2 linked regions of the Caenorhabditis elegans genome follow. The protein of the gene in region 1 purifies or fractionates together with the protein of each later gene. This does not show direct contact. Each region holds a gene or a part of one and is shown in the gene's direction. Other genes may lie near its edges.

What was found. Proteins that work in one complex are often made in the same cells at the same time.
Region 2: the proteins of sdz-9 (region 1) and T05C12.4 fractionate together in Caenorhabditis elegans (co-fractionation; one large-scale study listed by BioGRID). This does not show direct contact.

The regions. Positions count from the first base shown.
Region 1 is NC_003280.10:2,771,862-2,775,370, reverse strand, and holds sdz-9 (F-box domain-containing protein), read left to right. Parts: upstream 1-1,736; 5' UTR 1,737-1,758; coding exon 1,759-1,844; intron 1,845-1,894; coding exon 1,895-2,870; 3' UTR 2,871-3,002; downstream 3,003-3,509. Other genes in the region: fbxb-111 (F-box associated domain-containing protein), read left to right, coding at 367-446, 502-1,375; sdz-10 (F-box domain-containing protein), read left to right, coding at 3,131-3,213, 3,258-3,509.
Region 2 is NC_003280.10:8,177,018-8,182,288, reverse strand, and holds T05C12.4 (uncharacterized protein), read left to right. Parts: upstream 1-1,907; 5' UTR 1,908-1,920; coding exon 1,921-2,004; intron 2,005-2,336; coding exon 2,337-2,501; intron 2,502-2,544; coding exon 2,545-2,706; intron 2,707-2,760; coding exon 2,761-2,868; intron 2,869-2,995; coding exon 2,996-3,166; intron 3,167-3,214; coding exon 3,215-3,691; intron 3,692-3,867; coding exon 3,868-4,128; intron 4,129-4,174; coding exon 4,175-4,558; intron 4,559-4,630; coding exon 4,631-4,711; 3' UTR 4,712-4,771; downstream 4,772-5,271. Other genes in the region: dylt-3 (DYnein Light chain (Tctex type)), read right to left, coding at 1-419, 465-471; acr-14 (AcetylCholine Receptor), read left to right, coding at 5,094-5,183.

The DNA.
Region 1 (3,509 bases):
GCACATGCTATCGTACCATTCGTCTCTGTCTTCACACATTCAGTCCTGTTGCTCAGAGAACCTGGGAACAGTGTCATATGGATCTGCTCCGTGCCGGATAAGGGAGGTTGCAGGCAGAATATGAGGAAATGTAACATTTTGCAAATTGGTTCAAAGAATAATAGCCAGACGTATCTGCAAAAGACTGCAGCTCCATGGATACGTCAAGGAAGTGATGTCATGCATAGAAAGGTGGTCTCATTGAACCTTATTACTTTATTCCGCCTTTCTTGTACACTCAAACCGGTCAATAAATAATAAGCGACGCGCTATCTGTATTCCAGGTGGCCCCTCTTCCCGCTGTGCTCATTTGTGCCTCCTGCTCAAATGGCTGCCTGTTTTCCCCTTCTTCGTCTCTCTAGCAAAGACCTGCGCAATGTTTTACAAAATATGGGGATTCTTAATTTGTAAGTCATTCTGTTGTCAAGCCAAGTAATGTAATGAAACCTTCCGAAATTGCAGATTCTCCTTCTCACTGTGCTCCACCAAGGCTCACGTGAAGCTTCTGAACAGCACCATCCAAAGCATCGAGCTTCATCTTTCCACTGGAATTGGCATTGCAGTCTGGTCTCCTACCCAAGACCGAATCGAATTAGTTTTCGAGAAGGATCAATGTGAGCTCGCGAAAGTAGTCATGTATAATGCTTTAGGCCACTTAAAAACTAGAAGTTTCTGGGAGAAGACTGGATTTGGCCTACGGGATTGGATCGAGCACGTCATGGAAATCTTCAATCACTCGGCCATTGACATGTTTCGCATAGTAGGTTCCCGCCACGCCGAATCATATCTGAAAAGGATACATAAAACTACAGATGGCCTGGAAGTAGGTACCATGGAATTCGTGTACTGGACGGAAGAAAGAGTGCACTTCATGAGAAGAACCTTCCAGCCTACAGATGTATCACTCACATTTCCTGATGAAGAGAATTTCACGCCAAAGTCTACACAGAGGATTCTCCTGGAAAACCAGCACTTCTTGATGTATCGCTGGGCGGATTCGGAGCCACGTTTCACTTTGAACGATCTCCTAGCGATCAACTGCTCCCAACTCTTTATACCAGAGTCCACATTAACCGCCAAGGACCTAAACATATTTCTCAAGCACTGGATCATCGGATTCATTGGAAATCTCAATATGGTTCAATTGAAGAAGCATGACGGGAGAATGTGGAGTTTGGAAGCCGTGCTGAACGATATTGATTACACAATATCAGCCGAATTGGCCGAAGATATACAGACAGTAGTAATCCCACGATACAGACTGTCAGAATTGTTTCTGACCTACACGACACCTCCGAATATGGGCTCTATTTTGACGATCTATCGATGTGGTTGAAAAGGTGTTTTTTTTTTCATTTTGTTGTTCAATTTTTAAAAAATAATTCTGTGAATAAAATTTTCAATTTCTTCTTGTTGTAATTTTTTTCTAGTTCTGCACAGATATTTGTTCGGAGAAAAAGTTTTGCTCCAGAGAAGAAGTAGACGCAATTCTCGACGCAGCGCTAAATTCATGGTTTTTCTTATTGTTTTTTGAATTAATAAAATAAACTCTAGAACTATAAACGATTTGCATACAACTATTATACCCTTCAACAAACATCTTCCCACAATAAGTAGATCAAAATGGATCGATAAAAAATCCTAAACGCGACGCGCTGTCCATATGCCATCTTAAATTGAGCACTCCTTTTGTGCTCATTAACGTCTCCTTCTGCAGTGATGGCTACCCGTTTCCCTCTTCTTCTTTTTTGTCTCCCTGAAAAGAATTTGCGCATTGTTCTAGAACAAATGAGATTCCTTGATTTGTAAGTTAAAATTTTTTTTTGTTGTGGATAATCAGAAGCTTTTATTTCAGGCTTGCCTTCTCTTTGTGCTCCAAAATCACCAAGGCTCATACGACGCAGCTAAAGCGTAACATCAAATACATCGCACTTGATGCTTCTAGTGGAGTTTCAATTAGGCTCCAATTACCAGATCGAGAACAAATAAACTTAGATGTTAAAACAGACAGATTCGATAGATGTAACTTGAACTTTTGGGAAATTGCCAATGTGACTTATAGGCAACCAACAAGAGGCTACCAACAAGCACGCTACGAACAAGAATTCTGCTGGAAGAAAAATGGGTTCGGTCTTCGAGATTGGATTGATCACACCATGGAAATATTCAATTTACCGGTTATTGACCAATTTTACTTAAGTGGAACCGTGCTCAGTCTGGCTGATACAAGGCAGATAGGCGAAGCTTTAAATGGATTAAAAGTGACAAGCATGGATTTCTGGTGTTACACGGAAGATCGAGTTTATAACATCAGAAGAAACTTGGAGACTGTTGGCTTAATTTTCGCACACCCCGACTCAGAGCATTTCTCCAAACTGTCTACTCAAAAGATTCTTTCGGAAAACCAGACAAGCGTGCTTCATCGTTCGCCGGATTTTGCATTAATGGCTGAAATGAGATATTTCGTCGACGAGGCTTCGTATGCCTGTATTACTTTGAACGATCTCTTAGTGAGCAACTGCACCAAACTCATCATAACGGATTCTACATTAAAATCGGAAGAATTGAACATTTTTCTTAAGCACTGGATCAATGGATCTATACAGACATGCGAATTCTTGAAACTAGAGACGTCTGTCCGAACCCAGTGGAATATGGAGACCGTGTTGAAAGGCGTTGCGCATAAAACCGCATCAAAAGTGAAGGATGGTGCACCAGGAGCGAGAGACATGTTTATAATCCCACGGATCGATCTGCCAAATTTATCCTTGACGTATATCCCATATGATGGCAGGTACTCCGTTTTGACAATTGATGCTCGCTGCGGTTGAAATGATTTTTTTTAAATGTAATCCTTTGTTTTTTTTTGTAATTACTTCTTAAATCATTATTAAAATTTGAGTTGTCGAAGTTTTCCATTCTCTTTGAATTAATAAAATACACAACAACTACCCTTCAACAAACATCTTCCCACAATGAATAGATCAAAATGAATCGATAAAACATCCTAAACGCGACGCGCTGTCCATATGCCATTTTGAATTGAGCACTGGTATCCTTTCTGTGCTCATCTATGTCTCCTTCTGCAGTGATGGCTGCCCGTTTTCCTCTCCTTCTTCGTCTCCCTGAAAAGAATTTGCGCATTGTTCTAGAACAAATGGGATTCCTTGATTTGTAAGTCTTAATTTATTGTAGATAATCAGACATTTTTATTCCAGGCTTGCCTTCTCTTTGTGCTCCAAAATCACGAAGGCTCATACGACGCAGCTTAAGCGTAAAATCGATAACCTCAAACTTCATGCTTCTATTGTAGTTAATATTAGTTTCCGATTAACAAATCAAGAAGAAATAAGATTAGATGTTAAAACAGACAGATTCGATAGATGGAACTTGAACTTTTGTGAAATTGCCAATGTGACTTATACAGTAGGCTACCAACAACAATTCTGCTGGAAGAAAAAAGGATTCGG
Region 2 (5,271 bases), 5.4 Mb from region 1:
GATGAAGAAGACTTGGACAGCACCGAAGATAGTTTTAGACATCCATTCCGAGTAGTATGCAGTATCCTTCGTAGTATCCCAGGAGCACATGTTGGCCGTGCAAATTGCAAGATTATCGGTTTTTGCAGAAATAGTACAATGAACCAAAAACTTTTTGCTTCCATTGAGCTTCACTAAATTATCCGAAATTGTTTGGATCATCTTGCTCATCCAATCAGACATTTTGAATGGAGAATATGGAGTTTTACCAATTATTGAATCAAATGATTTTTGAATAATTAAATCAATTTCTTGTTCTTCGGCATTTGAATAGACTTTCTTTTTGAGTTTCTTATTTTTCTTTTCAATCAATTGTCTCAAAAGCTGAGCGTTTTTTGATTCAATTTGCCGCTTTGCTACAGAAGAAGTTGTAGAAGTGTCTAAAATTTCAAATGATGTTGCATAATGTGACAAAGAAAACTAACCTGTCATTTTGAAACAAGGAATGAATGAAATAATTAAAGTTATGCGATAAACATTTGTTTTCTAAATTTGATATATATATTAGAATCTGGTATAAATTTTTTTAACAGTGCGTGTAATTAGAACACGCTCTGAAGGCGAAGTGTTTAGTGCCAATTCAAAATATTACTTACAATTAGACCCGAAAATTTTGCGCTTTTTGTGCCAAAAACACGGTACCTGGTCTCGACACGAAACATTGTTTTTAAATGCAAAAAGGTGTGGGCACAGCATCTCCGACCGGGAGCGAAAAAATTAATTTTATTATAAAATGTGTTGTTAAGTTTTTGTTTTGTTTCCGCGGCTCTGTACCAGATTTTACACTAAAAGTGCACCAGTTTGGAGCACCGGACACACAGAAATTGTGTAATGTTGATGGCGTTCCGTATCCGAAATTGACATGTTTGCAGGGGTCGGTTGAGCTAACAAAGGTGGGTGGTGGAAGACGGAAATACGGTTCGAAGGAATAGTGGGGGGAAAGCTGACTGATTAGCTTGCCATCAGTGATTTACGGAAAATGTTCTGCTTCCTACTATGATTTCCTCATAATTTGAAATTTCATTAACTCTTAAATGTTTACTTAAATGTGATGCGAATTACTCAGAAAATGCACAGTTTTGGAAATGTAGCAAGTGACCAAAACATTTACTGAAAAAAACCTTCACCTTTGAAGTTCCTCTAATATCCAAAAAGTCATCATCAGTCCAATAGACAAAAAGTATTTCCGGTCCGTCATGGCAAGTTTGCCTTTCTCATCACAAACACTTTCTCTCATCCTTTAATTGTTTGTAGATGAGCCGGTCATTAACACTTATCCCTCTTATATCTATCATTCAATAAATCTTTTTGTAATATGCGCACCTCAATAATGTCTACAGACTCTTGATCAAGGTTTGTGGAACGTTTCTTTCTGTTTCCATTCAAACTATTTAATTAGATTTCCTGTAAATTCTGGAATGGAAAAATTTAACTTCATATTCAATTATAACAATGAAAATTAATTTAAAATGGCTTTGTGCAACTTCTTGAAAACAAATTGGAAAACATAGTTATTTTATAGTGAATGCTTTATGTATGCACCTTTATTATATTTCTTTTATTAGTCTTGTATCCTGTTTGCTCTACTTTGACAGCTCTCATGCCGGTTATCTTTGATTTTGTCAAAAGATATTTAACAGCAAAAAGGTATCACATATTTTTCTATATTTTCATAGTCAATTTTTGATATATCGAAAGACAATCGAGATATGAGCTTTCAAAGTAGAGCAGTGAGTTATAGGAAAAATACGGATCTTTTCATAAACTGATCGGATCTGAATTTCCCATACGGAAGCGTCTCTAATCTTGACTCTATTTGACACACAATCATTCAACAGATTTCTTTATTTAATTTTCAGAAATTTCAGATAATATGTCCTAATGGCCTCATATATTCTAAACGCACTTACACTTCGTCACGACCATGACGCAGCTGAACGAACATTGCACCATTTTTGGGATACGGTACGTGAAGGAAAAGTTCCGGTCTCTTTTCGTGAATGAAAAGATTATTTCCACATGATTGGAAGGGTCATTCCCGTTACATTCGTTTTTGAACGGAAAATGAAATTCAAAAAAAAACAGCTGAAGATGACCTAGTCTCGCAAATTTCACCTTTGCATGATAGGATCTAACGAGTGTTGGGCATTTTATTATTGTTATTAATATTATAGACTTACTTTTATTATAAAGTTTTTATAGTAATGAATGACTTTATATTCGATTTAGGTGATGTAAGTTTTTAATGATTAAATTAAAAATTTAGAGTTTATCTAAATTCAGTTTACATACTTCAGAAAGATCTTCTGGATTCCGGGTTAATTGAAGAACATATTGCAAGTCAACCCCTTTTGGCTGCAAGTTTATTTTCTTTAATTTCTTGCTCATTTGGTCTTGTTATCTTTACAATCGTATTCCTCACATGTAGGTTTCGAGGGCGATGTGGATCACAAAAATATCAAGTAAGGTTTCGAGGATCCCTTCTTTTAATATTAATATTTCTAGGAATATCCTTCAAATTCCAACACTTATGCAATATATCTTATGTTATTTTTCATTTCCTGGCTCATCGTCACATCAGCTTCTGCTTATTTTGTTCTCGCTGGAATTGGATTTTGGAGTGAAAAATTGGATGCAAAGAAACCATTTGCTAATGCGTCTCTTGTGGTTTTTTAGACATTTACTCATTTCAAAGTGAAACGTTTATATCCTAATTTTCAGAGATTTTCGAGAAGCACTATCAGTGATCTATTTGCTAATTATGATTATCATGGAGATTTTGAAAACGTTTCTGAGCTGCCCAAAAGTGGGCTGAAGAGAATTCATATTGTGAGTTAGATCCAAATAAAATATTTTTAAATAACAAAACTTCCAACTAAAAAACTATGTTATCAAAAATAACTTTCTTGAAATCTACAAAATCTTTATTCAAAATGTTCATTTTTATTTCTTTCAGAGTAGAAAACCACTTCAAACTTTTCGAAAAAGAATTGAAATTCCCATTCGACCACTGGCCGAAGTTACATTTTCTGGAACATCTGATAAGTTTATTACAAAGAATCGACCAATTATTGATTCAAATTTGAATAAAGTATCAGATGAAAAAGAAGAAGTCGATGACATTATTGTAAGAGATGTTTCTTAAAATGTATGACTTTTCCAGTTTTAATTTCAGAATTTGAGTGGGGACCAAGAGGAAGTTTCAATTCAAAATATGCATCAGCCTACGAAAAAAATTTTAGTGAATCATAAGGATCAACTTTCTGAAATTCCAAGAATTCCTCAAGTTTTTCAAACATCAGATAATTCTGAAAACCTAGATGGTATAGAAGATTCAACAGAAGAACCAGAAAATTCTACAGACAATGAAGAAGCTGAGAATCAATCGAATATTCTTGTGGTGAATGGAGAAACAATGACGATTGAGGAAGAATCTGATTTGATTGATGACGTGGAAAGCGAGGAAACGACATCCACAACTACACCAAGAACAACTACTACTACTACTACTACTACCACAATCACAACCACAACGTCAGCTCCTACAACGATTGCAACTTCTACGCCTATATCCACAACATCAAAAGCCACTACATCCTCAACTCAGTTGTTCCAAGAAGTAACCTGGAAACAAATTGAGGAAACTGATTCCGTGAGTTTTCAATTTTAAAAATGTTATCAAGCATGGCATATCCTCTCAATTGGATCCTTCATAAGTTATCTGTTCTCGTTTCTCATAAGCACGAGATTAAAATAAATTTTCATATAAGCAAATTTACTTGGCTAATTTTTTTAAAACTAATCATTAGCAGTATTTGAAATTTCCAGAACAATGTTCTAGACCAACTTCTCACTCACGCTGAAAACAATGCTGAAATTCCATCTGACAACAGTCTGTCTTACAATCCAAATTTGACGTACTTCAGTCTTCATTCAAGATTGCTCGTTTTCATCTGCAGATTGGCGTTCTGTTTTGTTGCTTTGGCTCTTCTTTTTGTGATATTACCCACATTTTTTCTTGTTGTCGCTGGCACTGGATGTTACATTTATAGTGATCATCCTATGAATCGAAGTAGCGTTTCGAATAAGGTTGACTATAGGTTATTTATGATTGAAAACTAAATTGAAATTTCAGATTGGCAAAGTAGTCTCCGTAAATGCTGCAATCTTGTTATTAATGTCACCATGTATGCTGGTATTTTCATGTTTTACTCTATTCTACACTCACTGTCACGAACTGTTATGTGCTACAATTCAACTTCAAAATCAACAAGCAAGAGGATTAGTCGATACAAATCATCAGAGTCTTATTGAAAATTATTCAATCAATACAAATCAATGTTCTCGATCATTGGCTCCTGTTCAATCTCTGCTCCTTTCATCACTTCTATTATGTATTTCATTGCTTCCATGTGTTTTTGCAATGTTCAAACTTGTGAAGTACTATTTTCGAATGAGTAGTGAATTTTATTGGAATGCTGCTGATAATTTCGCTGGGAGACAATTTTCAAAACAACAGGTAAATTGTCCGTAGAGATGCAAGACTAATAGAGTAGAGTAACTACGGTAACTAACATTTCAATATTTTCAGGAATTCCCCCGTTATCAAAGTACAGTAATCTATCCAGATGATGAAGTTACAACTGGCTATGCAGTTTATGGACAGATTTAAATTTTTTTTTCGTTTTAAATGGAGACTACGGGTTCCCAAATGTATTTTTAATTAAATGGTTTATCGAGTTGTAATAAATTTTTACTGAATTATATAAAGCTAGAAATGTTTCTAAATGAAGTTTCTCGGCAGATCACATCCTGAAATATCACTGCTCGGAAGCTCTGAAATCAGTCCTATTTGTATACAGGTTGATGTTCATAAAATATTTGAAAGTTTTTTTCAGGAAAAGAAAACACATCGTAAGTATCTATTTGTCAAGTGAGTGCTTTCTCTCTTTTCTTTGTGTGGTCCCATGGGGGATCAGTCACTAATCCTCCATTTCAATCGTCCATGTGTTCACCCTTTTCCTCTTTACTTTTCAAATAGGAGGTCATCATCAATGTCTTTTGTTTTCTTTATTTTATTAACTTTTTATATTCAAGTGAAAGGAAGTGTAGACGAATATCGACTTTTACAATATTTGAAAGAGGTATGGAACATTGTATTGCTCGTGCAAAAATTATAAGGTTTTAAATGTATAAGTTTGGAGACTTTGCTTTAATTTTTTCAAATAACTG